2 linked regions of the Astyanax mexicanus genome follow. The protein of the gene in region 1 purifies or fractionates together with the protein of each later gene. This does not show direct contact. Links are inferred from orthologs where the notes say so. Each region holds a gene or a part of one and is shown on either strand. Other genes may lie near its edges.

Evidence for each region.
Region 2: the proteins of mtmr4 (region 1) and dnajc10 purify together in Homo sapiens (affinity purification with mass spectrometry; 3 studies listed by BioGRID and IntAct, counting the BioPlex papers as one, with this or other methods). This does not show direct contact. The link is inferred for Astyanax mexicanus from reciprocal best matches to the Homo sapiens genes MTMR4 and DNAJC10.

The regions. Positions count from the first base shown.
Region 1 is NC_064408.1:12,989,456-13,005,768, forward strand, and holds the start of mtmr4 (myotubularin-related protein 4), read left to right. Parts: upstream 1-8,439; 5' UTR 8,440-8,965; coding exon 8,966-9,010; intron 9,011-16,313. UniProt on the Homo sapiens protein: Lipid phosphatase that specifically dephosphorylates the D-3 position of phosphatidylinositol 3-phosphate and phosphatidylinositol 3,5-bisphosphate, generating phosphatidylinositol and phosphatidylinositol 5-phosphate.
Region 2 is NC_064418.1:49,783,917-49,800,789, forward strand, and holds the start of dnajc10 (dnaJ homolog subfamily C member 10), read left to right. Parts: upstream 1-9,536; 5' UTR 9,537-9,644; intron 9,645-10,672; 5' UTR 10,673-10,763; coding exon 10,764-10,982; intron 10,983-13,111; coding exon 13,112-13,277; intron 13,278-13,826; coding exon 13,827-13,877; intron 13,878-14,992; coding exon 14,993-15,075; intron 15,076-15,800; coding exon 15,801-15,932; intron 15,933-16,041; coding exon 16,042-16,135; intron 16,136-16,873. Other genes in the region: cxcr2 (C-X-C chemokine receptor type 1), read left to right, coding at 2,978-3,523. UniProt on the Homo sapiens protein: Endoplasmic reticulum disulfide reductase involved both in the correct folding of proteins and degradation of misfolded proteins.

The sequences.
Region 1 (16,313 bases):
TAAACGCTCACTGGACATCCAGTAAACACTCTCCCCTCAGTGCACTGAAGGAAACTCTCAGAATCCAGTTTCCACAGCTATTAGCAACGTGTTCCTCCTGCTCTCACAAAGGTAAAGAAAAGCTTCTCTCAGCCTCAACACTGATTTCTACAGAACATACAATGCCCTCTTGTGGTCATTCTTTTTCTAAAGTATCATTGAATCCTGAGGTTTAGTCTGGTGCGTGTGTAAATCACAGATTCTGGACAAAGATATAGCAAAGCACAGGCTGTAGTGACTTAACTGTGTATATTGGAGTCCTTCTGGGCTCTTTCATCTTCATTGTATTTGTTTTATATGTCACAGCAACAACAAAAAAGCTTCTTTCACTTGTGATAAAATAAAATATTGATTTTTACAACATTTCTTGAGGGTTCTTCCTCTGTGTTTTCTGTTATTGTTCCACATGTGAGAAGTTCCCCCCCATTAAATTTCACATTAAATTATTAGATAACCATTAGGTAACCACCCGGTTCTAAGTGTGCATATATTGTGGATATTTGAGAAAACTCAACTTGGAGATCAATATGTTCAATATAGTTCATACTTAAAACCTAGTTACAATGATTTGTTGGCGATATGGATCAAAACTGATATATCTTTATAATTTCTTGATCATTTAGCTGAATGGAGATATAAGGTATCTATCTTGAAATGTTTTTATCCCATAATGTAATAACAAAAAGTCACTTCTGAGGCAAAGCCTAATATTTCAGATTATATACAGACACTGTTATTAACATTCAGCTGTAGATAAAAATGAGATTTATTCTTTTTCTTTTTTTTTCCATTTTATTTCAAAATTTCTTTTGATGGCAAGCTAGATGACCAGGATTTAAACCAGTGATCTCCCAATCATAATGGAAGCCTTTAGACCACTGGAGAGAACAGCATCTCAACATTAGATATATTCTAGAGATTTATTTAATGTCTGATTATTGGAATTGGAATATATTGATATACACAATTTTGTCTTAGCTTATATCTTGTATGAAAAAATATATTGATAACTTTTTAAAACTCAATATATCGTCTAGACCTAGCCCATCTTTTCTGGTTCTACACAATATATATTTTCGGTTAGGCTCTGCTGAGAAAATTCTATCATTTATAATATAATGCAAAATTCTTACTAAGGTGTCTCAATTAAAAAAGTGTGTCAAGACTGCAGATTATTCTATATGGACAAAATTGCTGGGACAAATGCTCATTTGTTTGGTTCTTTTGAAATCAAGAGTATTAAAAAAAAACATTTTCCTGCTTTTAATGGAGTAAATGTCTTTGCTGTGCAAGGAATGATTTCTACTACATTCTGGAGCATTGCTGTGAGGATTTGGTTGCTTTTAAGTTATCAGCTAGAGTAAATTTCGTGATAGTATTTTAGGGCCATATCGCCCACCCCTAATACAGGGTCTAGACCAACTCTAAGGAGCCTATTGCTCACAATGAGCATTCAGTAGACATTTGAACATGTACAGTAGAGATCAACTAAGCACTTGTGTTGCATGTCCAGCTTTATGGACCCGGAGGATAAAGCCACTGTGCCAGTTTTCCCTCACGCCACATTTTTCCAGGCTCCTCATGATGCCACTTCCCTCAAGTGTAAGCACTTGTAAGAGTGTGTACTCCACTAAGTAGCCAAAACTCCAGGCAGCCGTGGCTCGTTGGCCAGGTTCCCCCTCGTTATGAAGTCATGTTTCGTTCGGAACGCTGAACGCGTCCCAGCGGCGATCATTAAACACTTAGGGTGTTCTATAAACACAACAGAGCTGCATCTGTGCCCGGGCCTCCTGTGGCCGCCTCTGCACTTGCTGCTTACGCCCTGCGCTCACCGCTGCCAGCCTGCACCTCTGACACACTGCAGACTCCACAGCAGTGAGGTCCAAAGTGAAGTCAGCGGCTGCTTTATACAGTACCTGCTCTGTAGGAGCCGCTTCTGTGTGTTTATTTGAGCGAGTGATGCCTGGAGTTGGTAGAAGTGGTGTTCTGCAGTTAATGTGAGGATAGTGATGTGATTAATAAGGATATGTTTGGTTTTGGGTCAATTAAGCTGCTGTTGAATCAGCCTGAGAATGTATTTCTTCTTCCTAGAACATAAGAATCAGTGTTATGGCAACAATATTGTACTTTGATATTTGGAGATTTTTTTTTGAACACCATACTTTATGGGTATCAGGGGTTTTGTTTAAAGGTTTAAAGTATAAGTTTGAAGTTATAAACCAGGGATCGTCACTAGGTGGCCTGCGGGCCAGATATGGATGATGCTTCTATGGAGAGCTTTTGTTTACATACCTCCCCTGTCTCTCGGTTGCGCTTGGCATTAAATTTAGTTTCTGTTCGTTCTAGTTTTTCCACCAGTTCTTTGGCTCCCTATTTCCTTATAAGGGTGTTTTTTTCCTGGCCCTGTCCCAATTTACTAGCCGGGGCAGCGGTAGTGTATTGGACCGCGACTCTGACGACACGGGTTCAATCCCGCATGGTTGTTTATTAAGCTTTTCTTTTCTTCTTGGGTTTACCTGCTTTGAATTCAACTGTTCTGCAATTGGGTTCAACAGCCCTCTGGGCTGGAGAGCTACTAGTCTGTAGCACTCCATCCCCTTACACTTCCTTACACTTACAGCATTTTTTTTGTGGCCTGCAACATAATGACTTGGAAAGTATCTGGCCCACAGCCAGACTTAATTGCAAACCCCTGCCATACTTTATGGGTACCAGGGGTTTTGTTTGAAAGTTTAAAGTGCAAGTTTGACCCTATAAACCATATACTTATGATTTGGTACAGAAAGCAAACTTATTTATTTAATCAATTAGTCTCTAATGTTAAGATGTTCATTGTCATGTCGTAATGGTATCTGTCAAGGGATGGGATGTACACATTAGGCAGTAGTTGATGTATTGGATGCAAAAAATTGATAGTTCCAAAGATCTGAGCCACTTTTTTAGCGACCTTATAGCGACTATGAAAATAATGATTGAGAACAAAACTTGAGGTGCAGAATTGGGCACATGCTTGGTTTAGTGGAATTGTCAAAGCATCACTTCATATGTCACATCATACAAACTAAAATGTCATATTCAGTGTGTTTTTGCTGTTAACACTGCTACTCATTTAACTCATTTATCTGTGTTACGTACTGTTATCAAAAAGATTGTGTTTTTATGCCACTTTTACCTGTGGTGTGAACACAGCCTACGTTTTCCTTCTTTAGTCTATTACTATGTTAAATTATAATAATGCAATAATGTTGCAATTTTAAAGAATAGAGGTTGAGTTAATATTAGTCTGTTTTTTGCTCGTTTCTCAACAGGTTTTTTATGTTTTTTATATTATTTTAGTTGACCTACTTTCTTCTAACTTCATAAAAGAGCTCTGTGTGATGTTTTTATATGCAACAGATGAAAGTTTTTCCATATGCACTTGCTGGAATTCCGGGAAGAACTCTTAAATCCAGAATCCATGACTCAGATGTCCTGTGTGTTTATGCTTACTTTGTCACGTGTGTGAGGTTGCCTGCCATCATGTCTACTGCACAAACTGGGTGCTGAAACACACACACACACGAACACAATCCCCACCCACGCACAATGGTTTTAATCTGTTTCCGTACAGCTTGTTTAATCCCCGTCCCGTCCCCTACTATCTGGTCCGCTCTGGTTTTGATCTGCTCTAGAACAAAAGAAGGCCGTGTTGAGTTCTGTTCTGTTTTGTTGGACCAGGACTGGCTTAGGTCCAAAGAAGTGGACCGTGAGCTCCTCTGCCCCACGGCAGCCCAGCGGCTGCTTTAAAGTGGCAGCAGAGCGAGACGGAGGGCGGGGAGGTAAACATGCAGCATGTGACCACCTCACCTGATGCACACACATGAAGAGCTCTTTGGATTTGGTGTTGGTTTGTGTGTTCATGATGTGTATGTGAAGCAATGGAAGATTCTCTTATTTCGTTTTTCATATCGTCACTGTCCAATAAAAAACAAGTATCTCCATTTTTGTCACTTTTTAATTTACTACATAATTTGAACACAGAAACTGTTCCATGCTCTGTGTCAAAATGTCTTAATTTCTGTGATGTTGCTGTTTTGGAGATGCATGTGTTATATTAATATACACTATGCTTTAAGTCTTGAGTTTGGGATGAGATTTGAATGACCTTGGGATGAGTTGAGGATGACTTTGGGATGAGTTGAGGATGACCTTGGGATGAGTTGAGGATGACCTTGGGATGAGATTTGAATGACCTTGGGATGAGTTGAGGATGACTTTGGGATGAGTTGAGGATGACCTTGTCATGAGTTGAGGATGACCTTGGGACGAGCTTGGAATGAGTTTGGGACGAGCTTGGAAAGAGTTGGGGAGGAGCTCTGGACGAGTTTGGGATGAGTTTGGGATGAGTTTGGGACGGGTTGGGGATGAGTTGGGGACGAGTTTGGAATTAGCTTGGGATGAATTGGGAATGAGTTTGGGATGAGCTTTGGATGAATTGGAGGTGAGTTTGGGATGAGCATGGGATGATCTAGGAATGATTTGGGGATGAGCTTTAGATTAGTTTGGGACGAGATTGCGACAAGCTTTGGATAAGCTGGGAGTTTGGGATGAGTTTGGGATGAGTTTGGAAGGAGCTTGGGATGAGCTTGGGATGAGCTTGGGATGCGTTGGGGACAAGTTTGAGATGGGTTGATGTGGAGTTTAGATGAGTTGGGGACGAGTTTGGAATTAGCTTGGGATGAACTGGGAATGAGTTTGGGACGAGCTTGGGACGATTTGAGGAGGAGCTTGGGATGAATTGGAGGTGAGTTTGGGATGAGCTGGGGATGATCTAGGAATGATTTGGGGATGAGCCTTGGATGAGTTTGGGACGCGATTGCGACAAGCTTTGGATGAGCTGGGAGTTTGGGATGCGTTGAGGATAAGCTTGGGACGAGTTGGGGAGGAGTTTGAGATGAATTGGGGGTGAGTTTGTGATGAGCATAGGATGAGCTGGGAATGATTTGAGGATGAGCTTTGGATGAGTTTGGGACGAGATTGCGACGAGCTTTGGATGAGCTGGGAGTTTGGGATGAGCTGGGGAGTCTTCGCTGGACTGTAGAGACAATTACTCCTTTAAACTCTTCAAAACCCTTGATTATAGAAGTAACAATACTTTTGTCCGTATAGTGTACACATCTTGATGGTAGTCAAAGCAAGTCGTAGTTAAACTTCATTCCAGGTATGTGTGTGCAGGACCATTGACGTCAGCTGTGGTGATGCCAAACCCAGAATCAGGTCAGAGCTGCATGGTCTGGGTGGTCTTTGCACTTTGAATAGAGGACTTTAAATTAAGTGCAGAGGTGATGTTTTTCTTCCTACCTGACTCTGGCTAATCATAAGTATATGAGTAACAAGCGGCTATGCCAGGTGTTTGTTTTGAGGTGTTGTGTTATCCAACACTGTATTGACTCTCAGTATCACAATCATTTTTAATTCACAGTTTAGTTGCAGGGAACAGTGGTAGAGAAAATATATCACCAGTGATGTTCTTCCAGTATCTTATACTGACTTATACTGATACTTACCGATACAGATACTTACGATACTTAATACAAAATCAACAGAACACTAGTTTAGAACATGGTATGGCTTACTTTTGTCTCTAAACCAAAAATATTTTTTTCCTCCCATTAAGTGGCTGTCTGTCTGCCTGTGCCCATCTTCAGTAGAATGAAATTGGGGGTGCCCTCTTTTCCTGAAATAGCTGCTGAGGCTGTGGGCTTGTATCAGGAGTAGATCAGGAACACTGAAGGGGAAGTCACGTTTCACTCACTCTCTGTTCAGGTTGACTTTTATATATAAAATAATAAAATTAATACAAAAATTACACTGGAATCAGTGCATTAAAGTATAGGACTGTAACAAATACATTTCATATTATCTTCTCTAAATCTTTCTGTTACCATATTTAATGAACATCACTAGAGATAAAGTGTACATTTTTGACTGAAAGGAAACAAAATGCAGCTTTGCGTTGAAGGTCAAATACCTAACACGTTTTTTTGGCACAGTTTTTTATTCATTTTGCCACTTTTTTAACCACTGCATAAATTAAATATAAATTAATATGAATTAAAATGTGTTTTTCAAAGCTAATCAATCACCTCAGACACACAAACAAAGCCCAGCTTAGACATTGATTGGTATTAGGGGTGTGACAAGACAAGATTTAAAGTTAACTATTTTAAAGAAAACTTTAAAAATTAAAAATAGAGTATTATTTGACAAAATTATATAATGCAAATACAACAGACTGGTTTCTCTCACAAATTGAGTCTATAAAAAATAGAAACAATATTAAAAAAAAATAACACCCCTAATTGGTATAATCGTTTGTTTTTGTAAATCATTTGTTGCTAAATGTTAGCTGCATGCCTAACCACAACTGTTGTTAGAATTAAAACAGGGCATCTGGATGCACAGAGGTAAAAATTGCAAATCTTGTTCTGATGTATTTTTTGTTTAAACCCACTTTCCTGCCATTAAGTGTTTAATATGGTCAGACAAACACATTACCTGTCTGTTCTCTTTCATGCTCTGATTGTACTGTAAGACAAGAGATAGCAAGATGCGCAAAGTAACGCTTCATCTGATCTGATTAACCCTGCTGCAACACCCTATTACCTCACTGCCAGAGGGGAGATTCCCATCTCTGTAACATTACACCTCGCAGCAGCTGCCTTTAAATGGGGGGTTAATACTCTGGTCACGTTTTATGGTGGATAATAAGATTGATTGTAATTGAGACGGACAGGTGGGGATGGTTTTGGAGGGGGGGGGGGATCCTCAATCCAGTCTGGGAGAATTAAAATTGTAACAATATAGTATTTTTTAACAATGCAGTAAATTGCTGTTATAAGAATTGTGGGTCCCAATGAAATTTGTTATAAAAATTCCCCAAAAAATGTTGCTTTTGGTTTATATACAGTTTTTCCTGCATGCATCAGGTTTTCACGGAGACCCACGTAAAAACAACAGCGAGTGGAAATTAAGGAGCTACTGAACAGATGTCAGGTGACCAAGAAAGCCTGAAACCTCACTAGTCCTCCTGTTTTATTAATTGCAGTCCAAATGCAGGAGTTTCAAAATTTAGGGTATTATAAATATTGTGCATTTGCAGTTTTGTGTCTGCAATAGGTACAACTTAATGTAGAGTATTTTTATTAGAAGGAGTGTTCACACAGATTTGGACATATGTATATCTTGGCCAAGGTTCACTTACTTTCACTTTCTGTGTAACTTTCAGTCATTCACACCCACTTGACTCTGTTTGCATTAACATTCATTAAAGGAAGATTTTTCCCATGATCTCTCTCTCTCTCTCTCTCTCTCTTACACACGCACACACACACACAAATGTGTTCTTTGCAGAGGACCTCAGGCATTGGACGGTCACGATTGACACGCTGGGTGAGGGTGGGGGATGTGGAGCTGGAGGGAACTCTTAGGGAACAGTGTGCCTTTGCCATGAAGTAATAGACAGACAGGGAGAGATAGATAAAGAGAGAGAGAGAGATAGAGAGCACTGCATGCTGGGAGGCTGCGGAGAATGAGGCTGATGGAGAGAAAGAGCGCGTGTGGTAGAGATGGAGAGAGAGAGGTTAAAGAAAAGGGAGGGGGAGCTGATGGAGATTGCTGTGTCATTGGTGCACGCTGCATGCTCCTCTCTATTACTTTCTCTCTCTCTCTCTCTCTCTCTCTCTCTCTCTCTCTGTTCTCCCTTCTCCTTCGCTACCTCTCTCGACCATCGTGACTGTTCGCTGATGCATTGCGCCTCCTGCTCCTGCTGCCCAGCCATGCAGCACTGAGGGGAGCACATCAGAGAGCTTGAGCATGTGTGAGTGTGTGCGTGCGCGAGTGTGCGTGATGAAAGAGAACAAAAGAACGAGAGAGAGAATGTGAGAGAGAACAAAAGAACGAGAAAGAGAGAGAGAGAGACAGAACAAGAGTAAGAACAAACAAGAGACAACACTCAATAAATTAAGATGAACCTAGTAAGTCATTGTGAGAGAGTCATACATTTGACGAGCATTGTCTTGTCTATAGGTGTGTGTGTGTGTGTGTGTGCGCTCACAGGCATAGTTGCACACAGGATGGAAGGCATCCTCGGCTCTAGCTGCAGTGTTCTCGAGGCGTCTGCTCTGTTGCTGAGGTGGCAGGCTGGTGCAGATGAGATGTCGGTGAAGGGTGAACAAACGAGGGAAGGAGGGAGGGAGCGAGGAGAGAGAGAGAGGCTGAGTGAGAGGATGCACGTGAGTGAAGGATGCGATGCAACTGTGGGTGGAGCTTAACATCAGGCAATACCCTAGCACTCGCTTTTTACCCCCCCAACCCCCTCCACTGCATGCTCTCTCTATCTCTCCCTTTCTCTCTCTCTACCTCTCTCTCTCTCTCTCTCTCTCTCTCTCTCTTGCGCTCTCTCTTTTTCTCTCACAACCAGCCCCCTCCCATCCAGTCCACCTGCCGGCGTTCCATTTCTCCTCTTTCCTCCTCTCGCGCAATACAGACTATCCATGGACTGTCCTTTCTCTCGGCCACTCGAGCAACAGGGTCACCCGGCAACTGGACCAAACCTGCATCTCCCTCTCCATCAGTCTCTTCTCCGCCACCGGCACCTCGTCCACCTCGGTGATACCCCCCTCCCGGCACGTGCAGAGGAATAGGAGGGGGGCTGGGGCGTGTCTTCTGCAAATGAGCAAGAGAGCAAGCAAATGTGAGTGTAGGTGAAAGTAAGAGAGAGGGAGAGAAAGTAAGAGAGAGGGAGAGAAAGCAAGAAAGAAGTGAGAGAGAAGAGAGGAGTAGGAGAAGCCGGAGTGTCCACTGGGGGAAGGATGGTTTTGCCGGCGATCGTGCAGCTCCTCCGAGTGTGTGTATCCTGGGCAACTGAGCCCTGCCCCCTCTCGCCATGAGCCTGGCCGTCCGTGTCTCCTGCTCCATGCTCAACTGCTTTGTAAGTGTGTGTGTGTGTGTGAGTGTGGATGTATGTGTGTGGACTACACAAACGCTGCAGCTGTGGCTAAGTAACAAGTACAAGTGACATGGGAGTACTGCAGATGCTCAGATGGATGTTAATTAGAGTCAAGAAGCCAGAGTAAGTGTGTACATAGAGATAAAGTGTAATAGAGTGAGAGAGACAGTGTGTGTGTATTTGTGTTTGTGTGTGTGTGTTTGGTCTTTGCTAAAGGGGCCAGAACGCCACGTGAGCTTGTCGCTCCGACGGGAATAACACAGAACATCCAGTTCAGTCAGAAAGAGAGAGAGAGAGAGGGAAAATATGCCGCCCTGATTCTTTTTGTTTTGATGCAATCACGCTTCCGTAGATTACTAAGAGATTTAAGTTTTTAAACACACACACACACACCTACAAACACACATCCATTGCTGAGGTATAGGACATCATCTGGTTCATTCATATAGCTGTTTGTTTGTCTTCATTTCATTTCATTATCTATTGCAACTCCATTCGTTTTCTAGGACCTTCCACAACGTTCCACCACTTTCCGTCTCCATCTCTTAGAATCAAGTGCTTGACATTGGAGTCAGACTGTTAATAGTCCACCAAGGGGCTCGATTCTACCACATTTTACGACCTCCCCTCCCCATTTCTTAGAATCAAATGCTTGACCCTCGACTAGGTGACCTCAGACTACAATCTGCCCATTCAGGGACATTGTGTTATGTAGAGAAGGTCTCTTAAAACCTAAAAGAACTCTAGTTAGTCTTTCTAGGACCTTTCACTACATTGCACCAGTTTCCCCCTGTCCATATCTGCCCTACAAGTCAGGACCTGGAAGGCTCTGTCCAGGGACTCCTACGAGGGAGGAGGGTTACTGCTAGATGCAGCTTGACAGCTTGCTTCTGCGTCTACTGGTTACTTCTCGAACTGTTCAGTTCTCTGCATCCCGCCAGCACCACCACTACTATCCATATCCAACCAGCTCAGGAATCAGCATGCGATTGTTCCAAAGAACTTTGACAATCCTTCAATGTTTATAGGTCCTTCCATTACATTATACCTCTTACTCCTCTCCACCTCTCAGCTATTTACTCTCATAAATGTTAGTTTTGAGGCAGGAGAGGAGGTCATTGGTGGTAACAACCAGAGAATGAGGTTGTCAGCAGTTATAGTCCTTGACAGCTGGTTTCGAGGGTCTTCAATGTCTAGAGATAATGTCCTTCAAAATCTGCAAGAAGACTGTTTTAGAACTCGTGTTTATAGGTCCCTTAGCCATGTTCAAGCACTTTTCCCTCGCTGTCTCTGAGAAACAACTACTTTGTCTGCACTTTCCTCTCATAATTATCACCTTTGACAGGGAAGGTCATTGGTTGTAGCAATCTGACTAGAAGGTTATTGGTAGCTGTGTCCAAGGACTCTTTGTTTTGCAGAGAAGGTTCCTTAAGCCATGATAGACTTCCAACACAGGGTTCTAGGTCCCAGTCTCCCTTTCCCCTTTTTATTTCCAAGTAGTTGCCATGCTATTTTTGCTTATTAAATAGTCAATTTTGACAAGATGACAAAATATTGTCATTGGTTGTAGTGACCATGAGAGAAGGTTATTTGTGCCTGTAGATTGACAGCTTGCTTCAGGATATATGGGTCACCTCTTGAACCTCCCACCCTCCCCCTTCCACCACCATCATGTTCACTTGAATCAAGAGGCAAGATGTGATTGGTCTTTCCAGGGATTCTCTTTGATGTACAGAATGTCTCTTAAAAGCTGGTACAATTCTAACTCAGGTTTCAAGATCTCTCCACCTTTTTTCACCACTTTCCCCTCTCAATCATTGGGAGTGAAGTGCTCGCTGTGCAATTTCTGCTCATAAATGTTCAGTGTTGACAGGAGAGGCAGAAGGGGAGGTTACTGGTTGTATCAACCAAATGCGAAGGTTATTTGTAGCCGCAGCTTAACAGCTTGCCTGCTTCAAGGGCTAGCAATGACCTCTTGGTTGGTGTAGGGTCTTTTGGTTATGTATAGAAGTGGTTTCTAGTATCTGGTTTCTAGTTCCCTCTGGTTCCCATTTTTCACCACTTTTTCTCTCCATCTCTAAGAGTGAAGTGCTTGCTGTGCATTTCTGCTCAGATCTGATGAAAGAGGCAAAAGAGACTAAAAGTCATTGGTTGCAGCAAGTAGCAGAAAAGGTGTTATATGGATGACCCCCTAAATCCCTCAACACTCCAACCATCACATCCATCACCGCCCTTTTTCCCCCCTGGTCCTGAAGTCTGGCTGTGTTTGATCTGTGTAGGGACTCTTGTCTTTGTAGAGATGGTCCCTCAAAACCTGCTACAATATAGAACTCTGATTTCTAGCTGCCCCCACCATGTTTCACCACTTTCCCCCCCTCTCCATCACTCAGCGCAAAGTGCTTTCTCTGCAATTTCTGCTCATAATATGTCAGCCTTGACAGAGGAGGCAGAAGAAGAGGTCATTGGCTGTAAAAGCTGATGAGAAGGTTTTGGGTAGCAGCATCCTGACAGCTTGCTGGTAACCTTTTGAACCTTTCAACAGTTTGCCTCCAACCAATACAATGTACAGCTGTCCCAGAGATAAGGCTGTCATTCGTCTGTACAAGGACCTTTGGCTATGTATACAAGGAACCTCAAAATCTGATAGGACTCTAAGTCTGGTTTTTAGCTCCCTCTGGCATGAACTACCACTTTCACATCTCACCTCTTGAACCCTTTAACACGCCAGCATCACCATTATGTGATTGGTTTGTCCAGTGTCTCTTTGCTCTGTAGAGAAGGTCTCTCAAAACCTGCTAGAATACTACCTTAGGTTTCTAGGACTTGAAAGCTTGGACTTGAAAGGCTAGAGGAAGGTTGTAACAACAAAGAAGTGAAGGTTATCAGTAGCTGTAGTCTGACAGCTTGCTTCAGGGTCTGTAGGTCATTTCTTAAAGCCCTCAACAATTCACCTCCCGAGAGCATCATGTTCCTTCAGCTCAGGAGTCAAGCTGTGATTGGTCCATCCATGTTTTGCTACTGTGGATGGAAGCAATCATTTTCTCACTGCAATGCTCCAAATCTAATAGGAAGTCCTCTCTTGAAAGTAGAGGCTGTAACTCTAGCAAATAGCTGGATAAACTCTCTCTTTTTTTAATGAATCACATTGACTTTGGGGGGAAAAAAAGACAGATGCCCCAGTACTTTACCCATACAGTCTATAACAGACATGCTCATTGATTGCGTATGTGTACCTAGACGAAACCTCCACCAGACCTAAAGTCTCCCCTGCTGGAGTATGTGTTTGTGTCTTGGGTGACTGGGTTTACCATGTGTCTGGGATTTGCTCTGCACTATAGAAATGGAATGGAATTATGAAGGCGAGGTTAACGGCCCCCACGTTCACATCCAGCCTCTGGGCGGCTGAGATGGATGCTTGTTGCTTTTTTAGGGCTTTAAATAATGGGAGCTCGGATCCAGAGGGAGCACTAAAGGGCTCTGATTGAATGGGGAAAGCTTTTTCCATCTCTCTGATGCCATTATTCCATCCCCACCTCACATCCGCCTAAACCAATCAGACCAGTAACAGGAGCTCTGTGTATGACTTTTCGATGAAGCATGTACCCCCCCACCCCCAGTAGGTGTATAAATACCTGGTTGTGTTTGTGTGTATACAGTATGTGTGTATATTTGTGCGTGTGTGTGTGGTGGCCCATATGAGCTGGCGCAGTGCCCACTGCTGCTCGATGGGTGAGGAGCAATGAACCCAGCCGGCAGATGGAAGATCGTGACTGAGCGAAGCCCAGCATTGAGCTGACGTTGTGCCAATGTTAGCGGACGTTATTCTTGGGAGCAATTCTCAGGAGCTGCCCTCCGTTTTTTATACAGCCTTTTGATACTCATTATAGGTATATAAGTAGTTTGTTGAGAAATCCAATAAACATGATTTATCACAAACCCTATATTCCGATATGTTTAATATACCAAGTTTGTTTCTCTGGTTAAGAACGGGAGATGCTAGGCTAGGCTACTTTGGATATAGACGTCTCAATCCTCACCTCAATAAATTCAATCCCAGTTAACAGAGAACGTTATAAAAATATTTAGCAATGTTTCAAAAATGTTCCAAGAAGGTTACAGAAATAATGTCCCAGAAATATTGTGGAAACATTTTACATTTATAATGGTTCCCATCTAGTTGAATACTAACATCATGGAAACTTAAGTAACTTAAGTAACAATCCCAAAACTAAAATTTGAAACATTCACAAGTGACCATGTTTGTGAGAAAGGAAATGTTACCAGAACATTTAAAAACGTTAAATAAAATATTTAGACTGATTTAATGTTTTAAGAATGTTAATTGTAATGTTCAAAAAATCTTCAACTCACCAAAAAGTAAATTTGCATCAGACAAATCTGTGTAGTTTAAAACATTGAATGACTTATTTTAGTTTTAGTTTTTAAGCAATTAAATCAAGATTTAATTTATGTATGTAATTCGTTTTTTTGGGCAGTATTAGCCTAGCATCTTCGTTGTAAATTAAGAAGGCTAATGTTGCTTAGAAACACTGGAATTAGACTGTCACTAATCTCATCTCAGTAATGACTCTAGTAACAGGAGATGCTAGGCTAATGTTGCTAGCAAACACTGTATTTAGGCTGTCATCTGAGTAAATTCATGAAAAGTATCCTTTCTGAGCTTATTTAAAACCCATGCAGTTCTTTAGTTCGTAGTTTAGAACATGGTAGGAATTATTTTTTGTTTTGAAGCAGGTGAGTTCAAATTTAGTCCAGTGTTTGTTAGGAGCATTAGCCTAGCATCTTCCTTTTTGTAAACTAAAGATTAGATATCTTTCCTTTTTTTAAGAGATGCCTTTAATGTTTATGATGTATACACTTAGCTGACGCTCTTATCCAGTGCAACTTACAAGGTTATATTTATTACAGAGTTAGCCCAATGTAGTGTTAGGAGTCTTGCCCAAGGATTCTTATTGGTGTAGCACAGCATAGTCACCCAGAGCAGGAATTGAACCCCAGTTTTCCACATGATGTAGCAGCTCACTTGCAGGAAGTGGTGTTATCCACTGCACCACACCAACCACCTTATAACAAGATAAGAACTCTATTGGTACTGAACGTATTGGGACCTTCACCTTCTCATTCATTAATTCTTCCCATTACCATTACTGTAAAGAAATCAGAGTAACCAAGTCATTTCATACCAAATCCACGCTGAGTGACTTTGTTTACATCATAGCCACTAAATCATTCAGAGATTTATTTTACAATATATTTGAACTATAGTTTACTCTGTATGTGCAATAACTCGTATTGGAAATCCAGTAGTGTTTTTTTTTTCTCAGCCCACCTACACTGCAGTCTGCGTATGACTAATAATATAAATGCTATTATTGTGTGTCGGTGTATGAGATACAGGATCTGCATATCTCTGCATGTGGAGCATCAGTGTTGCTCATCAGTTTAGTTCCTCAACAGCCTGGAATTTCACTCTCAGATTCTCAGAATGCGGAGCTTAAACTGGCTTGTACTGGGTCAGTGTGACCCTTATGTGTTTTTTTATTATATTTTAAACAGATGTGTTGATGGTTTATCCTTTTCTATTCCTTCAGTGCCATTTTCTATTTATCCCACAGCCCAGTGTAGTTGAGCTATGAGGTTCATGAAGAGCTCTCTCAGAATGGTCAGCCTGTAGGTTATCCAAAGGGCAGTATATGGACTGGTCACTTTACACCACACACAGCTCTCCTTCTCTGTGATTTATGGTTGTTTTTGACTAAATTGTAAAGATTGCAATTGGAAATCAATCAGATCAGATTCACTTTTCGTTTTGCTATGATGATGCTGGTGCAGGAGTTTGACTCAGAGGTGAAACGTGTTGTTGTTCAGTGGGACTAATCAGATTGATTGATTGATGAAGGGAGTAGTGTTTCTCAATGTATGTGAAGTTTAGTTTTAGGTTCTGCAAACTGGCAAACTATTAAATACCAATTTTTTTCCATATTTACCCAACTACTTTTGTGTTCTTCTGACAATCTTAGAAGTAAAAGGTTGCAAAAATGGGTTCTCCTGAGCATTAAACACAAAGAAAAAAAAATTGAGTGCACATAATATCCTTATCTTACTGGTAAGAGTAGATAATTAATTGAGCATTAGTCAGATATTAAATGGTTTATTGTTTTTTTTTTCCTGTTTTCTCTCCAAATGTAGTCATTGCCAATCTGAAACTGGTGGAAAAAGTGAAGGCTAAAGCAGGATTGTAGTGTCTTCTTCAACAGTAAAAAAGTGGAACTCTTTTCACTTTGTATCACCACTAAAGGACATGCTTTTCACATGCATTTTACAAGCTAAGAGATACAGAACTGACACAGTGAAAAATCACATGGACTGAGTAGGGCTGCAATGATTAGTCGATATATTCGACAATGTTGATTATTTAAATTTGTCACCTTCAAATTATATTGTCGACTAATCGTTTATATGTAACAGTGCTGCATTACACAAAGTGCTGGGGACAGAAGTGCAATGGGAGATGGGTAAACGTCTCATGTGCACTCTTGTGTCCCCAAGAGTGCCTAAACACAACCGATTACATATTTACTCATTAAACATCAGTACTTTCCATGTTTAAACAATATCTAGAGATTTAAATGTATTTTAAATCTCATGTTCAGCTGTTTTTATCGTTTTTTTTAGGACATGGCAGAAATAATCAATGACTAATCGACTTAAAAAATATATATATCAGATTAGTTGACTACTAGAATATTCATGCAGCCCTAGGACTGAGGCGGAACAGTATCACCTGTAGCCTAAAGGGCTTGGGACATAGGCTTGGGACCCATGGAAAATCACATGTTCAATCCCCTGGACTGGCAAGAATTGTGAGTGAGGAAGTGAAGGAATAGGTTTGTTCCAGCACTTAAAAATGAAAATAACACTCCCCTTCACATAATTGCTCCCCAGGTGTTGAGGTGTTCCCACAACCAGGGTGTGTATTCTCACTTCTCCGATTCACCAGTGTGCGTGTGCACAGTGACATATGTTTTAAAGGTCCAATTAATTTAATTATGCTATATTTATTGTTTATTACAGAAATTAATTTTTTATATCTCTGTAATAAAGTATCGCAATTTATTACAATACATTAAATCCTAACCCTAGTATTGTGATGCTTGTATCGATTGTATCATATCGACAGGTTCTCTACAATATGCAGCCCTAATATTTGTAGTTTGTCTGGCATTATGACACCCTTTAGGACTGTGAGCAGCAAACTCAGTCC
Region 2 (16,873 bases), on another chromosome or scaffold:
TCCATATTAATGTATATATGTTTAGAATGAAACATCATAAAAGCTCTTGTAGTTGTAATGTGTAGGTGTCCCAATACTTCTGTCCCTATACTTTGAACCAAATATTGTAGCAGCAAAGTATATTAATATAAAACCTTGTGTTTTCTGTGTATTAATGAATACATTTTCCTGATTGAGTTAGTGCAGATATATACATTTTATTGCATTTAGTCTTAGCATTACAAACTATATGTTTTCTTTCTACTCCACCCTGACTGTTTTTAGCTGTTTTTTCTCATCTTCTTTTTGAAAACTCATAAAATTATTAGAATTATTAGAATAATAGTGTGACTGGAATGAAGCCTTCATAACTGGCATGAATAAAGGGCAAAATGAATTTTAAATGAAAATTGCACCACAAGTTTAGGGAAAGTGCAGGTTCTCCTGTGCTATATTTGTACCTTACTATTTTGTATTTTACTGATTAATAGAAAACAGTTAAACCATAAGTGTTGGGAAAGTACAGGGTAAGTTTCAGAAAGTTACCTAGGTGTTACACTCTTGTTCTCTGGTTGTATTTTATTTATACGTACAGTTAAATACCTGTAAAACCCAGTAAGTATTCAGAATGTACTGGTTCATCCAGAGAAGTTACATCGTAAGTAAAGGGAACTTACCCTCTAAAACACAGGTTGTATTATAAAGCGTTACCAAATCTCCTGTATTTGTAATGTGTGGCTGTCCAAATACATTTGTCCATATATTCTAACTTCAAAGCTTCAAAAACTGTGATGTGATGTGTTGGTACCCAATACTTTTTTTCTATCTATATTAATTACTATAGGTTTAGAATGGGACGTGATAAAATGTTGTGTGGATGTGCCCCAATATGTTGTACATCCATGTTAATTTATATTATATTACATTACATTACATTACATTTGGCAGACGCTTTTGTCCAAAGCGACTTACAATAGTCAAGTACAATGTAAAAAAAAGTTTAAAGGTAAAACATCTTTGGATAGGGATAAAAGGAGGTCAAAGGGGAATAATAGGATAGAGGAGTGAAGGAGGGGAAGAAGGAAATGGGGTTAGAAGAAGTTAGTGTGTTAGAGGTGTTAGGAGAGTAAGTGCTCTTTGAAGTGCTCTGTCTTCAGGAGTTTATTAAAGATAGTGAGAGATTCTCCTGATCTGGTAGTAGAAGGTAGTTAGTTAGAGGTGTTAGGAGAGTAAGTGCTCTTTGAAGAGCTCTGTCTTCAGGAGTTTATTAAAGATAGCGAGAGATTCTCCTGATCTGGTAGTAGAAGGTAGTTAGTTAGAGGTGTTAGGAGAGTAAGTGCTCTTTGAAGAGCTCTGTCTTCAGGAGTTTATTAAAGATAGTGAGAGATTCTCCTGATCTGGTAGTGGAAGGTAGTTTGTTCCACCATTGGGGAACTCTGTATGAGAACAGTCTGGATTGCTTTGTGTGAGTGTTTGGTAAAGCGAGGCGACGTTCACTGGAGGAGCGCAGCGGCCGGGAGGTAGCGTAAGCCTTCAGGAGCGAGTGCAGGTAGGAAGGAGCTGTTCTGTCATCACCTTGTAGGCGATTGTAAGAACTTTGAATTTGATGCGAGCATCAACTGGTAGCCAGTGGAGCTCAATGAGCAGCGGGGTGACATGTGCCCATTTTGGCTGGTTGAAGACCAGACGTGCTGCTGCATTCTGGATCATCTGGAGTGGTTTTACTACACAGGCCGGGAGGCCAGTTAGCAGGGCATTGCAGTAGTCGAGGCGTGAGATGACGACCGCTTGCACCAGGAGTTGGGTGGCCTGTTGCGTCAAGAACGGTCTAATTTTTCGGATGTTATAGAGCGCAAAGTGGCAGGACCGAGCAACTGAGGCCACATGGTGCGTGAAGGAGAGTTGGTCATCAACCAGAACACCCAGGTTCCTAGCAACCTTTGTCGGTGAGAGAGAGAGAGAGTCGATGCTTATAGAGAAGTTGTGTTGAAAAGATGGTTTTGCTGGTATGACCAGAAGTTCAGTCTTTGAGAGATTTAATTGAAGGTGATGCTCCTTCATCCATGAGGATATGTCAGAGAGACACTGCGATATCCGTGCAGAGATTGAGTGATCTTCAGGTGAGAACGACAGGTATAGCTGGGTGTCATCCGCAAAGCAATGGTAGGAAAATCCGTGTGAGCGGACAACCTGACCAAGAGAGGTGGTGTATATGGAGAAGAGAAGGGGTCCCAGTACCGAACCTTGGGGAACCCCAGTGGATAAGGAGCGGGCTGAGGACAGCTGTCCTTGCCACGACACCTTGAACGAGCGCCCAGGCACCTTGAACGACCAGTTAGAATTAAACGTCATTAAAGCTCCTGTAGTAATGTGTAATGTGCAGATGTCAAAATACATTTGCCCTTACAGTGTAACTGCAAAGAGGGAGCAACTACACACTAATGTTTATAGGTTTAGAATGGGACGATGCTCTTTGTGATGCACTGTATTACTGAATCACACCTGTATCACACCTGATTGGTCTAATTTGATTGTATGCATCACATCAACATCAAAGTATAACTCTAGTTAGCTAACTCTCCTTCTGTCCCTCTTTTTCCGCCCTCCTCCAGCTGTTGTTAGTAGGCGGTCCGTCACAATTCCTGGAGATATCATCCAATAGCATTCGCTGAGGGAGGCGAACCTAGCTCCGCCCCCAAACTTTAAATAACACCCCTTTCAAAACGTGAGCGGAAAAAACTCACTTGGGTGAAAAAAGCAGAGAATTCTGGAGGAAAAAAACACCCAAGAGGAGAAAAATAATGCTTGAGAGGGATATTCAGTTCAGCTCGCACACGATTCCCTTTTATTTTTTGCTCGCTAGTTTCACATTTGTGCTCACGAGAAGTTAATTAACACACACAAAATGTTAAAACACGCTGGTTAATTTTTTTCACCTGTTGTTTTTACGCCCCCAACTTTTTGACATTGATGTGACGCCGTATGGTTGTTCTTCCAGGTGGTGCAGCGCGAGGCTCTTCAGGAATCTAATGGGTACAGGTGTTACGAGAACCTGACAGCGGACAACATAGACAAGTGGCGCGTGGGCATGCGGATCCTCCGCCACACGGTGGGCTTCTTCCTGCCGCTGGCCATCATGGTGTTCTGCTACGGCTGGACGATGGGGACCCTCTTCCGCTCACGCAACAGCCAGAAGCACAAGGCCATGAGGGTCATCCTGTGCGTGGTCCTGGCCTTCGTGGTCTGCTGGCTCCCCAACAACATCACGGAACTCATCAACACGCTGATCGAGGGGGACATTATCGATGATACGTGCGAGCTCCGGAACAAAGTGGGCGCGGCCATGTACGTCACTCAGGCTCTGGCCTTCATTCACTGCGCCATTAACCCCTTACTCTACGCCTTCATCGGCAAGAAGTTCAGGAACCAGCTCTGCATGATCTTCTTCAAGAAGGGTCTGATTGGGAGGGAGGTTCTGTCTCGGTACAGAATCGGATCCCTCTACAGCTCGGGAAGCTCCAGGCATACGTCCGTCACTCTGTAGGACGTCAGGATTGGAAAAGAGGAAAAGATCTTGTGTTATTAGTCATTTTTTACACTCATCATCAAACATATAGCTGCATCCAGAAGAAAGGAAGTGTGGGATTATAATGCTATAATGCTATAATGCTATTTGGAAGAAATAGGAATAGTTAGTAGGAACAATAAATAAGTATAAATGTAGATTAGATATTTATGGGTAATATTTAGTGAGCTGCACACACAGAAGTAACTTGTAACTTGTGCGTAATGCATGTGTAAATTACTTAGAGCTTAGATCGGGCCCAAAAAATCCAGCCAATCCAGCCCGAATCAGCCCAAATCTGTGCATGTTCTGCCACTATGAGCCCGAGGCCAATTTAAAGCCCAATTTAAACATTTTTTTAGCAAGTTGAGCATTAAATCTGAGCTTTTTAAAAACATTTTTGGGCTGTTTGAATGAGCCAAATCTGTTCACAATGATGTTATTTTACATTGCAACACTGAAGAAGCATAGACCTGTTATTTAAGGCCCAGAGCTGCATTATTTTAACATTCTAACTTGTGCAACTTTGATTTATGTTACTTTGCTATATTGTGATTATAATGCCTATTCACAAGATAACACCTCACAACTTATGCAGGCACGAGCATTCCTAAGACGCTTTGTTATCGCCTTACACCCTGCTGTCCCATGACTTTTATAAACTTTTTCATTGCTATATTTTCTTTAATTTTACCAAATTGAAAACCTTTGGAATATAATCAAGAGGAAGATGGATGATCACAAACCATCAAACCACCAAACTGAACTGCTTGGATTTTTGCCCCAGGAGTAAAGCAGCATAAAGTTATCCAAAAGCAGTGTGTAAGACTGGTGGAGGAGGAGAACATGATGCCAAGATGCATGAAAAAAAACTGTGATTAAAAACCAGCAGGGTTATTCCACCAAATATTGATTATTTCTGAAAACTTTCTCTTAAAACTTTATGAATATGAACTTGTTTTTCTCATTTCTCAGTTTTCCTGTTAACAAATGCTATAAATAACAATATTTTGATATTTTGATTTGGAATTTGGGAGAAATGTTGTCTGTAGTTTATAGAATAAAACAACAATGTTCATTTTACTCAAACATAAACCTATAAATAGCAAAATCAGAGAAACTGATTTAGAAACCGAAGTGCTCTCTTAATTTTTTCCAGAGCTGTATGTATATTAATGTGTATGTTAATCTCTTTGTGAATACACCTTCTAATGAATGCATTTGCCTGCTTTAATCTGAGCCCATTGCTCAGGTTACACAGGTGTGCAAATTCTCACACTCGCACACACTTTACACGTTTATCGTACGCTTATACGCTGCTTTTCATTAAACAGAATCTCTTATCTTGTTAAACAGAAACAGACAGAGTGAGCGAGAGAGTTTCAGAAATCTTTATCTAGAAATGATCTGTCAAAAACAACCTTATCTTGCTTTGAGGTTAGAGCCTACAGTTCTGATTGAACTGATAGAACATGCACCTTATGCACTAAGCGATACACACACACACACACACACACACACACACACACACACACACACACACACACTATAATACACCTAAGCTTTGCTTGTTATACTTTTTTTAAGTATATTTTGCTTATTTTTCTTGTTTCATGTAAAAGCTGTTGCTGTTGAGACATGAGTGTATGATTCAGCATGACGGGTGCAGAACAGCTGCTTAGGAGAAGTTCATATTTCATAATATCAGTGCTTCTGTATTATAATAAACATAAATACCATTTAAAAACCTGTAAATGTTGTTATACTTTTATACAGTGCAAGTATGTCGTTTGCTGAATGTGTAATTATTGTGATTATTGTGGATCCTAAACTGTATCTGTCTGAAAACTGCTGGTGCCCATTATTTTTTTCCCCAGAAAATTAAGTATTTCTATCAGACAATTATAGGAATTACACTTTTTGTTACACACATGCTTATTTAAACAGAGAGAAACTGACATAACTTCACACAAAACTCAAAAATCAAAGCTTGTGATGCTCATTTAAACTCCCTTATGGAAAGTAACAGGTGTGGGCAATATAAAAACCACACCTGAAACCAGAAAAAGGAGACGAGAAGTTTCTCAATCTTTGCAATTTGTGTCTGTGTGTGCAAGACTAAGCAATGAGAACAGAACAATGAGAAGAGAACTGTCTGAGAACCAAAATTAAGGACAAATACCAGCAATTTCAACTTTACAAGTCCATCTACACTTATCTTGACATTCCTTTTTCCACAGTGCGCAAAATAATCAAATTTATATCACTGAGGCTAATCCCCCTGGACATAGACAGAAGAGAAAAATTTATGAAAGGTTGCATTGCAAGATATTCCAGATGGTGGATAAGCAGCCCCAATCAAGTTCACAAAGAAATTCAAGCCGTCCTGCAGGCTCAGGGTGCATCAGTGTTGGCGTGACCTATCGGTCAACATTTAATACGCTATGGTAGGAGAGATATAAAAAAAGCTAAACTGCATTTTGACAAAAATGTACATGAGTAAGCCAAAATTCTTCTTGGAAAATAGGCAAGGCAAGGCAAGCACATCAGTCATTGAAAGTGCTTTACAAACTAGAAAATATAAAAAGAAGTCAAATAAAAAAACATGTAAAAGAATAACAATACAAATGCAAATACAAATAAAATAAGAGTAAAACATGAATGATTCAAATACGATTCAAAAAAGAGCAGTCAAATTAAAAACATGTAAAAGAACAACAATGAATTGGAAATAAAAATAAGAAAATAGATGAGACCGACAAGACCAAGATAGAGCTTTTTTGGTAAAACACATAATTCTACTGTTTACTGAAAACAGAATAAAGCCTATAAAGAAAGGAACACAGTACCAACAGTCAGATATGGTGGAGGTTTAAAGATGTTTTGAGGTTTGTTTTTTTTTTTGCCTCTGGAACTGGGTGCAATGAATCGTTAAATCTGAACATTACAAAAGCTAAGATTTTGGGTCTTAATGCTGGGCCAAGTGTCAGAAAGCTGAGTTTGAGTCGTAGGTCATGGGTCTTCCAGCATGACAATGACCCTAAACATACTTCAGAAAGCAACCAGAGATGGAGTTCTGAAGTGGAAGCAATAAGTCCAGATCTAAATCCCACCTAACATTGCTGTTGGGAGAAGAAATCCTTCAAATAGTGAGAGCTGGAGAATTCTAGGTGTAAGAAAGGTGTAAAAAGCTTGATGGTTATAGGAAACAATTGATTTCAGTTATTTTTTTCCAAAAGGGTGTGCAACCAAATATATTTTACATATTTAAAGATTTCATTCCATCGTTTTGTTATTCATTTTAACCAGTCTAATTATGTCTCTAGTATGAATGAATGCCATGTGAGCCGTTTTTTGGTGAAAAAAACGATTGCTCATAAATATTCATACATGCAAATATATCGCCTACGATTGGCTAACAGCACTGCAGCAGAGAATGCTGCCTTGATTACATTTCTTTCAGCTAAACTAACGTTTCTGAATTCTTACCTCCTATTTATCCTATTTAAACCTATAGTTACTTACACAAAATAGCTAACCTTAACTAGCTGTGTAAACAGAAGTTGTAAGCTCCGCCTGTGGGCGGTCCTGAGCCGAGGTGGGGGAGGCTATGAAATCACTGGTTGACATCAACCTTTTACATCTCTCTGATCAACTCGTATTTCTGAGGGTTCTCTTTTACTAGCTACTGCAGACAGCGGAGGCTAAGAAACAGTTTTAAATGCGGCATCATATATAACTTAGAGAGACCTATTGTATTTGACTTTGCCTGCTTTGTAATAATGAAATAATGTTTTTCTCTGATATTTTGTTTTGTTCCAATGCACACAAAGAAAATCTTGACGTGTATGTTTGGGTTTTTCTGTAGAAAACAGCTTTTCTTTGGTGCGAGAGCTCCAGATGTCTCACATCTGAGTGATAATCATCTGACGGTCTGCTCTAATCTAACGTGCTGAGTTTCCCAGAATCACCGCCACCCTGCAGCTCTCACGGATGCCCTGCTGGAGGAGGAAAATTAGCCGAGATTATCACTGCACATCACTCTCTATCACTCTGAATCACAACCTATCACTCTATTACTCTTTATCACTCCCTGTCACTCACTCTCTATCACTCTGTATCACTGCACATCACTTTCTATCACTCTGTATCACTGCACATCACTCTCTATCACTCTGTATCACTGCACATCACTCTCTATCACTCTGTATCACTCTATTACTCTTTATCACTCCCTGTCACTCACTCTCTATCACTCTGTATCACTGCACATCACTTTCTATCACTCTGTATCACTGCACATCACTCTCTATCACTCTGTATCACTGCACATCACTCTCTATCACTCTGTATCACTGCACATCACTCTCTATCACTCTATTACTCTTTATCACTCCCTGTCACTCACTCTCTATCACTCTGTATCACTGCACATCACTTTCTATCACTCTGTATCACTGCACATCACTCTCTATCACTCTGTATCACTGCACATCACTCTCTATCACTCTGTATCACTGCACATCACTTTCTATCACTCTGTATCACTGCACATCACTCTCTATCACTCTGTATCACTGCACATCACTTTCTATCACTCTGTATCACTGCACATCACTCTCTATCACTCTGTATCACTGCACATCACTCTCTATCACTCTGTATCACTGCACATCACTCTCTATCACTCTGTATCACTCTATTACTCTTTATCACTCCCTGTCACTCACTCTCTATCACTCCACATCACTTAATATTTATCACTGTGTAATACTTTATATCTCTCCAGATCACTATATATCACTATGTATCACTGTCACTGTATGTCACTCCATAATGTTGTTTATAAAGGAATATAAAATTGTTTTCTTGTGTAAATAAGTAAACAAATCCTTTACAGCAAAAAAAAAAAAATAATAATAATATATATATATATATATATATATATATATATATATATATATATAGTGGCGAACTGGCCTAAAGGACGACACTCTGGAGACTCTTGCATCTCTTTCTCCGTAGATTTATTCCTCTCAATCCACACAAAAAAAGTTAATCCATACAGCAACAACCTCGAACGACCAGAGAAAAAGGAACACTCCCCAGATTTCTCCCGCTCTCTCCATCCTCCCAGTTCCGAACCCCGCCCCTCCCTGTTCACCCTCTATCATGGTTGGCTGGCACCTGTTCTCTACATGGCGCCCCCCTTAACCCTGAAGATCCCAGTGGCGACGCCACAACATATATATATATATAAACAAATCCTTATATACATATATAATCCTTATATATATATATATATATATATATATATAATATATATATATATATATATATATATATATATATATATATATATATATATATATATATATATATATATATGAAATAGATTTTAGTTAAGTTTTTAGTCTATCGTTTATTTTTTATTTAATATTTTATATAATTGCTGTTTAAAAAAATATTATATAAGTAAACTATGTAAAATTATTTCGATAAAATAATACATTAAAAAAGTTTTTTTTTGGGAGGAAACGGACGTGGCGCTCGCTGGCCGTCAATACGTCACGAGGGGTCCTTAGAGGGTGCTGGATGTGACTGGAGCACAGAATCGCGCATACCCCCTGCCTGCCTGCACAGCTAATAACCACTGTACTAATTTAAAAGAACCCATCTTTATACAACATTTTACATAAAACGTCTTTTTTGCATGAATTAATTTTACGTGCTCATATTTATATTTATTACTACAGGTAGAACCTTTAATAGCTTTTAATTGTGTTATTTTATATTTAATATTTATTTAATCCAGTGTGTAACTAACTGGAATTTTGGAAATTCGAAACGCTGTTTTAGTAAGTGTAAGTGACTCATTAAATGTTACTAAAAATATATATTTTAAATTATTTTTATTTACTTTATTAGGCTATTAAAGTGATGTGGTGTGATTTTAAGTCAGGCGCACAGGGCAGCTAAATAGAGAGGTCCTTGGGGTGCAGAGTTTGGTGGGGTGCCCAGCGCGGTGTAGCACTGTACCGGTATTCAGCCTGCAGAGACCCGGACACAGCGTGCAGCAGATACACCGTGATATTTACAGGTAAATGTGTGTGTAATATTGTGTTGTGAATAATGTTGTGTCTAAGGTGTTGTGTTGTGTTGTGTAATGGTGTGTGTGTTTTGTGTGTAATGTGTAGTGTTGTATAATGCTGTTGTGTTGTGTGTTGTGTTTTGTGTGCAATGTGGGCAGCTAAATGTGTGTGTGTTAGCTGTAGTATACAGAGTTTATAACCTGAATAATTATAATTATAAAGGAATTAAACACCGGGTAAACAGAGGAGTTCAGTCCTAAAACATCACACTCCTGTTCTAGCTGAGCTCGTCTGGTTAAGGGTATAAATTAGATTAATGCAGTTTAAATTAAGCTAGTTTAGGCTAGCCCTGTTACTCCTTAAAGGGGAGGGGAAATGGGTGATGTATGGGTTTAGGGGTGGAGCAGACGGGAGAGCTGATTGGGTGAGAGGCAGAAATGACAGCAATAAGAGCGTTTTGTTTTACCAGTCCACCAGTCTTACACACTGCTTTTCTGTGATTTTATGCCACATCTAGCGCAAAAATGAATGAGTTCAGCTTTGTTTGATGACTTATAATAATCCATCTTCCTTTTGATTATATTCCAGATGTTTGCAATGAATTGAATGTAGTATTAAGAAATGCTGTTGCTGTTTGCATACATTATTCATAAATGTTCATTTAAGACTAGGACCTTTAGACCTAAAAAAAACAATAATATCTCCTAATATAATCTTACAAAAATAGCTAAATGCATGCGATGCAATATAACAAAGAGATTAACATTATAACGTTAAGCTATCAATATTTTTCTGATTATTTTCTGACTGAGTGGTGCTATTGATTATTGATAGTAAAAGTAAAGTGATATGTGGTGTGGGTGCAGAACACCTGACGTCCTGCTGTGGCCAGGATGGAGCTTATTAACCTGTAAAAAGCCTCCACCCTCTGTAAACACTGGCTGCGTATGCCAGCGTGTTACACGCTACACAGCAGATGGATGTAATCACACCTCTGGACGCTCTTCCAACCCTTTATTCTGCTCTGTATTTACAGAATTCCCGATTCAAGATGATCCCGGATCTCAGTAATTAGTCCTGCGTTAAAGAGCGACTCCTCCTTCAGATCTTCTGGACTTTCTGCAAAAATGAGGCTCCAGAAATCCAGCGTCTCCACCGTCCAGAACTGCCTGAAGCCCTGGAGGAAAACTCTGCTGTTCCTGTTTATCTTTACCTGGCTTGTGGTTTCCAGTCATTCAGATGAAGATTATTATAAGTTACTGGGAATTTCGAGAGACTCCAGCACACGGGAGATCCGGCAGGCCTTTAAGAAGCTGGCGCTGACCATGCACCCGGACAAGAACCCGGTCAGTACCATCTACTGTATCTACTGTATATACTGTATCTGCAGAGACAGCGGTTTGTTTAATGGTTAATATAAGGCCTGTCACAATAACAATTGTTTGTGCAGGATATTTTGTCCCAAAAATGATTGCGATAAACGATAATTTTAAATTTTATATATTTATTTATTCATTTTTTTATTTTATTTTTTTTTATTTCTTTCATTGTTTTTAGTTATTGTTTATTTATATTTTATTTAAATTCTCTTTTATGTGATTAGCTTTATTTATTCATCATCATTCATTTTATTAGTTTTATTACCTTAGATTTTATTTACATATGATTTTTGGATTCCTACTCTTAAATTCTATGCCTTATTTGTTTTATATATATTTTATAATATCTTATCTTATAAAATGTTTTATTTATTTATTTAATTCATAAAGAAAATGTCAATCCCTTCCCTATGTAATGGCTCGGCTGCATTGTAAATGAGGGCCACCCTTAATGTACTCCTAGTTTACATAAAGGTTGATTGATTGATTTTGTTGCCATTTTTAGACCACTAATCTGACACTAATAAAATAATAACGTAATTTTTGAACAAATGAATTACCATTTTAAACATAACTTTGAACAAGCGTAGGTTATATATAGTAGGTTCTTCAGTGTGTAATATATATATATATATATATATATACACACACATTGCAAAGTGTAAAGTCAGGGGGAACCGTGGGGTGTCCGCCCCACACCATGATGTGCAGCCCCGGTCTGTCCCAGCTGGCACATGTTGAACCGGCATGAGGCAACACAAACCTAAGAGACACTAAAGTTAAGCAACTAGAGCCAAACTAGTCAATTACTATGTTTCTTTAAGTCTGTTTTGGGTGTTGATAGAGGCCATTTTTTTCTAATAAAGCTTCAGCCACGCCCACAGTCACAATATATATAAGTGCATTTTGTAAGTGCAAACACAAGGGACGATACTATGATTATTAAAATGATTGAGGTTGTGCTTTTATTGAACGATAAATTGATAATGTAGTTATTGTGACAGGCTTAGTTAATATTAGTCTGATACCTGAGTCATCCTTCACTATAAAAAGGTCAATTTTGAGGCCAGATCCTCTTTTCCCAGTGAATTTCTGATTGATTTAAGCCTGGTCTGTAGACCTGTTACGATAACCATGTTTTTTTTGTACAATATTTTGTCCCATATCATAATTATGATAAGAAAAAATAGAAAAAAAAAATCATTTTAAGAACATTTTATGCCACTGTTTTAATGATAACATTAAATCTTTATCTTCTCAGATATTCTGTTTAAATAGGTGGGGAGAAAAGGAATGCTGCTATTTTTTTAAAGGGCAGTAGTAAATGTATACGTGGGTAAATTAAGGTGGGCTGTAAATGTACGAGTCTGCTCTTGTAATCATCTTGGTCCAGTATAATCTTGACTGATCTAAGATTGTATTTTCGTATTTGGGACGTTTTATTAAACACGTGGACAAAATTGTTGGTACGCCTCAATTAATGCTGCTTTGCTCTATTTGGCACAGGGTGTAGTGTCTTGAATCTGTGCAGGTTACAATAAAATCTCAAGACTATAAAGAGATTGTGGAGAAATGTGCTTCCCAGTGTCAGAAAGCTTGGTCTCAGTCGCAGGACATGGGTCATGCAACAGGACAATGACCCAAAACACAGCTAAAACACCTAGAGCTAAAACATGCAATCTGGAAAATACCTGCAGTTACAGGAATCGTTTTATTGCAGTGATTGCCTCAAAAGTTTGTGCAACAAAATATTAAATTCAGGGTACCATCGTTTCTATGCAGGTCTGTTTCATGAGTTTATAAAAAAAAAAAAATTGACGCATTATTGAAAAGGTATGTCTTATTTTCATTTGTTCCTTTTTTATAGCATTTTTATTTCTTAATACTTTTTTCAGATGCAACTTATTTCTGTGACCATTGTTGGTTTTTCTTTCTTTTTGGCTACCTGTGTAATTATTAATTTACACGCTTTCACCAGCTTTTTTTTACCAATAGCTGGATGTTTATAGACTAGGCCTGCTTTCAGATGTGCTGTGCACATCAGTACTTTAGCCATCAGCCTCAGTAACTCAGACTCGTGTTTTCTGTACGTTCAGAACGACGAGACGGCTCATGAGAAGTTCCTGAAGATCAACCGAGCGTACGAGGTGCTGAAGGACGAAGACCTGCGAAAGAAATACGACAAATACGGAGAGAAGGGGCTTCAGGATGAGCAGCACGGGGGCCGATACGAAAGCTGGAACTTCTACAGATATGATTTTGGTATGGTTTAATTTGTATTTATTATATCTTTAATTATACTGTCTTGAAGTCTTGAGACCCGGACTTTTGTTTGGTGTGCATCTGTTTGAGATTATGGGAACCTAACAAGTATAAAAAAAAACAATGTCCTCATATATGAATCATAGTTTATTTCAACATTTAACAATAATTTTAGCTCTCTAAAGAAAGGAATTAAACTTATTTCAAAATAAAATCTAATGAGTATTTTTACCTGGCCCACATTTACATCTCAACTGGCTGTGGAAACTTTTGTCTGGGATTCCCGCCAACTTGTTTTTTAATCAATTGAGTGTAATGTCGTCTTGTGACCACTAGGTGGTACCGACAGTGCCTCCATATCAGACCAGAGGGTCAGTGTTTAACCAAAAGAAGTATCAGGGTGCAGAGAAGCAGAAATGTAGTGTCCACATATGAGGACGCAGGGTCTCAGGACCCAGGATATACTAATAATAGGCAGAATGTGTTTGGCTCTGTAATGCTTTATAGTTTTTAAAACCTACTACCAATACATTGATTTGTGTTTTACAGGCATTTATGATGAAGATCCAGAGATTATTACTCTAGACAGAGGAGACTTTGGTAAGTAAAATTATTTAATAGGGCTGGGTGATCTGGCCCAGATATATTATATCATAATGATGATGTGCAATATCACAACATTTTGGCAAACAAATAAAATGCAGTATTAGACCTGAATTATATCCTTAAACACTTAAATATACATGATTTTAAAGTGTCTAAATCACATAAAATGTGTATTTGTCTCGTTAGCTGTATAGTGCAGTCATGCTTTATTGTCTGAGTTGCTGTGTGATGATGTCAGGGCCCTGAATTCATCACCACCAACTCCAGAGTCATTTTATCTGCAAAGACATTTTTACACAGACACAGTACTTACCTGGATCCTGTGGAAATGGCGGCGCGCGAGCCACCCGGGTCCTTAAGGTCTGGGTAGAGACCAAGGGGTGTCCTGGGGCAGGGGAGCCTGGGGGTACCTGTGAAAAAGAGAACAGAGAAAATAATACATTAACATTGTAAAATTATCATCAATACTTACCTGGACGTCCAAATGTTTACATGCATGTCACTCTGTTTGTAAATATGTTAATATTGTACATATACAATCATGTATAGTTGTCTTACCCACCTGCCCTCAAGTTAATTACTTGTTGGTTTAGCCGGGGATGGGCTAAAGGTATTTAAAGGCAGGCGGGTACACTATTGGGGGGCTGGTTGAGCGTGGCTGGTATGCCGACGGGAGTTTATTGTGCTGAGTATTAGCATTTGTGGTGGTAGCAGCCAATCCACCGTTAACTCCTACCAGTGTAGCGTGTAAATAGTTTGTATATATATTGTAAATTTAGTTTTGTTTTCATTTTTGTTTTTGGGTTCGGATGCTTAATTTGTCACAATAAACACTTCAAAAGGGATTCTTACCTGGTTCCAGGCTGTTTTTGCGTCTCTGCCTCACCTCTCTCCGGTAACCTCCTGACCACTCGTCCTCACACTCCCACATGCTGCTACTGTTGTTTTCTGGTGCAGTGGGCGGGGCTAAACTACTGCTGTTTAATTGGCTTGTTAACTTCTTCATTGGCTGGTTTATGGTTTATTCTGATGGACAATAGGAAAATACATGATGTCCAGTGTAATGTATGCTTTAAGAGTTAAAGCGTTTTCTCTTGTCTCTCGGACAGACGCTGCAGTGAACTCTGGTGAAGTTTGGTTTGTGAATTTCTACTTTCCCCGATGCTCGCACTGTCACGACCTGGCTCCTACGGTGAGATTGACTAAAACAGTGCTTTACACTTATCACACTTACTCCTGCTTCTGCTCATATACGCTGACGAAGTCGACCTAAAATCAGTTGACAATAAATAATCACTATATTTAATTTATTTGCAGTGTTATATATTAATAAATGCGATACAACAGAGCAGTGGTGGCTCACTGGAGTTTCAGGGCCTTCTGTTTGATATCCGGCTTTACTGAACAAAAATAGTCAATTCTAAAACCAATAAAAGCTGAAGTACTATAAAATTATAATACTGTACTACACACTGCACCTATTTCCGCACTTCCACACACATACTCCAGATATCTGCACATGTATATAGCATGTAATATGTATACATTCAGTTATATTTCCTATTATTCCTATTTATCTACAGAGCAATATCAAATGTCTACAGTAGTCTAAGTTATTGTTTAAGTTAATTCAATATTTCCTATTTTAATTTGCTTATTCTAAATATTGTTCTGCATACTATTGGTAACCTGCACCCACGTTTTTCACTCACCTGTACACCTGTACTCTGTAAATACAGGTGTATTTATGTACGTTACATAATCACATAAATAAAAAGCTTTATTTTGTCTCTTTCTCTATAAGCCTAATTAGGATTGGATTAGTTTATCAGTGGGACATCCTTTACACTTCACCTTAGTGATGATCAGTAAAACTGTAGACTGCAAATAACTCTGATTTTTCTTTTTATTACTCAGTGGCGAGAGTTTGCTAAAGAGATGGATGGAGTGATACGGATCAGCGCAGTGAACTGCGGAGATAACAACAGACTGTGTCGCAGTAAAGGAATCAGCAGCTACCCCAGCCTGTTCATCTTCAGAGCCGGGATGGTGAGAAAATCACACACCATCAAAAACAGCATAAAACATCCAAATCAGAATTAATCACCTGATAATAGTACTAATCAGTACATGTGCTGATTTGTCTCTCTGTCCTCAGAATCCAGAGAAATACTACGGGGAAAGATCTAAGCACAGTCTTACCAAGTTCGCCATGCAGTACGTGACCAGCAAAGTGACCGAACTGTGGCAAGGTACCTTAACATACTAAAATACAGTAAATACGGTAACTTAGTCTATTTATTCCAATATTCTGTAATTGTGTTTTCATTAGAAAGGGACCAAAAATTTTTGTTCAAAAATTAAATATATATTTTAAATCATCTACTATGGCCAGGTTAACTAAATCAATATAGGTGTTATTTAGCTAGACAGCATTTATGACTTGCTCTAGAACATGAAACTGTTCTTCTACCTCCATCGCCTCCAATAAAAGCATAAACCAATATTAGGAAAATAGACCGAAAAAGGAGTGAATCAGGAAAAGCCCCCAGACTGATGTCAACCTGTTAATTAAGATTCATGGCCACGCCCACCTTGATTTGCAACTGCCCACTGCAGGGATGTGGAGGGAGTGTTACAGTGCTGATAGCCAATCCAAGTTGAGACATTTGCATGTCATGAATATTAATAAGTAATAGCCGAAATCCTGTCGTTTAATAATAGGTCTGTGCTTCTTCAGTGTTGCAATGTTAATTATCATCATTCTGAACAGATTTCGCTCATTCAGACAGCCTGAAAATGTTTTTAAAAAGCTCAGTTTTACCACACTACTTACTGAATTAATGTGGGGTTTAAATCAGGCTCGGGCTCATATTGACAGTTTTTGGGGCGAGTTGAGCTTTTTTTTTTTTTTTAAATCTAAGTCCTAAATCTAAAACAGGAGCACAAAAACTGTCTCACAATACATTCATTCATACTAGAAGCCACCA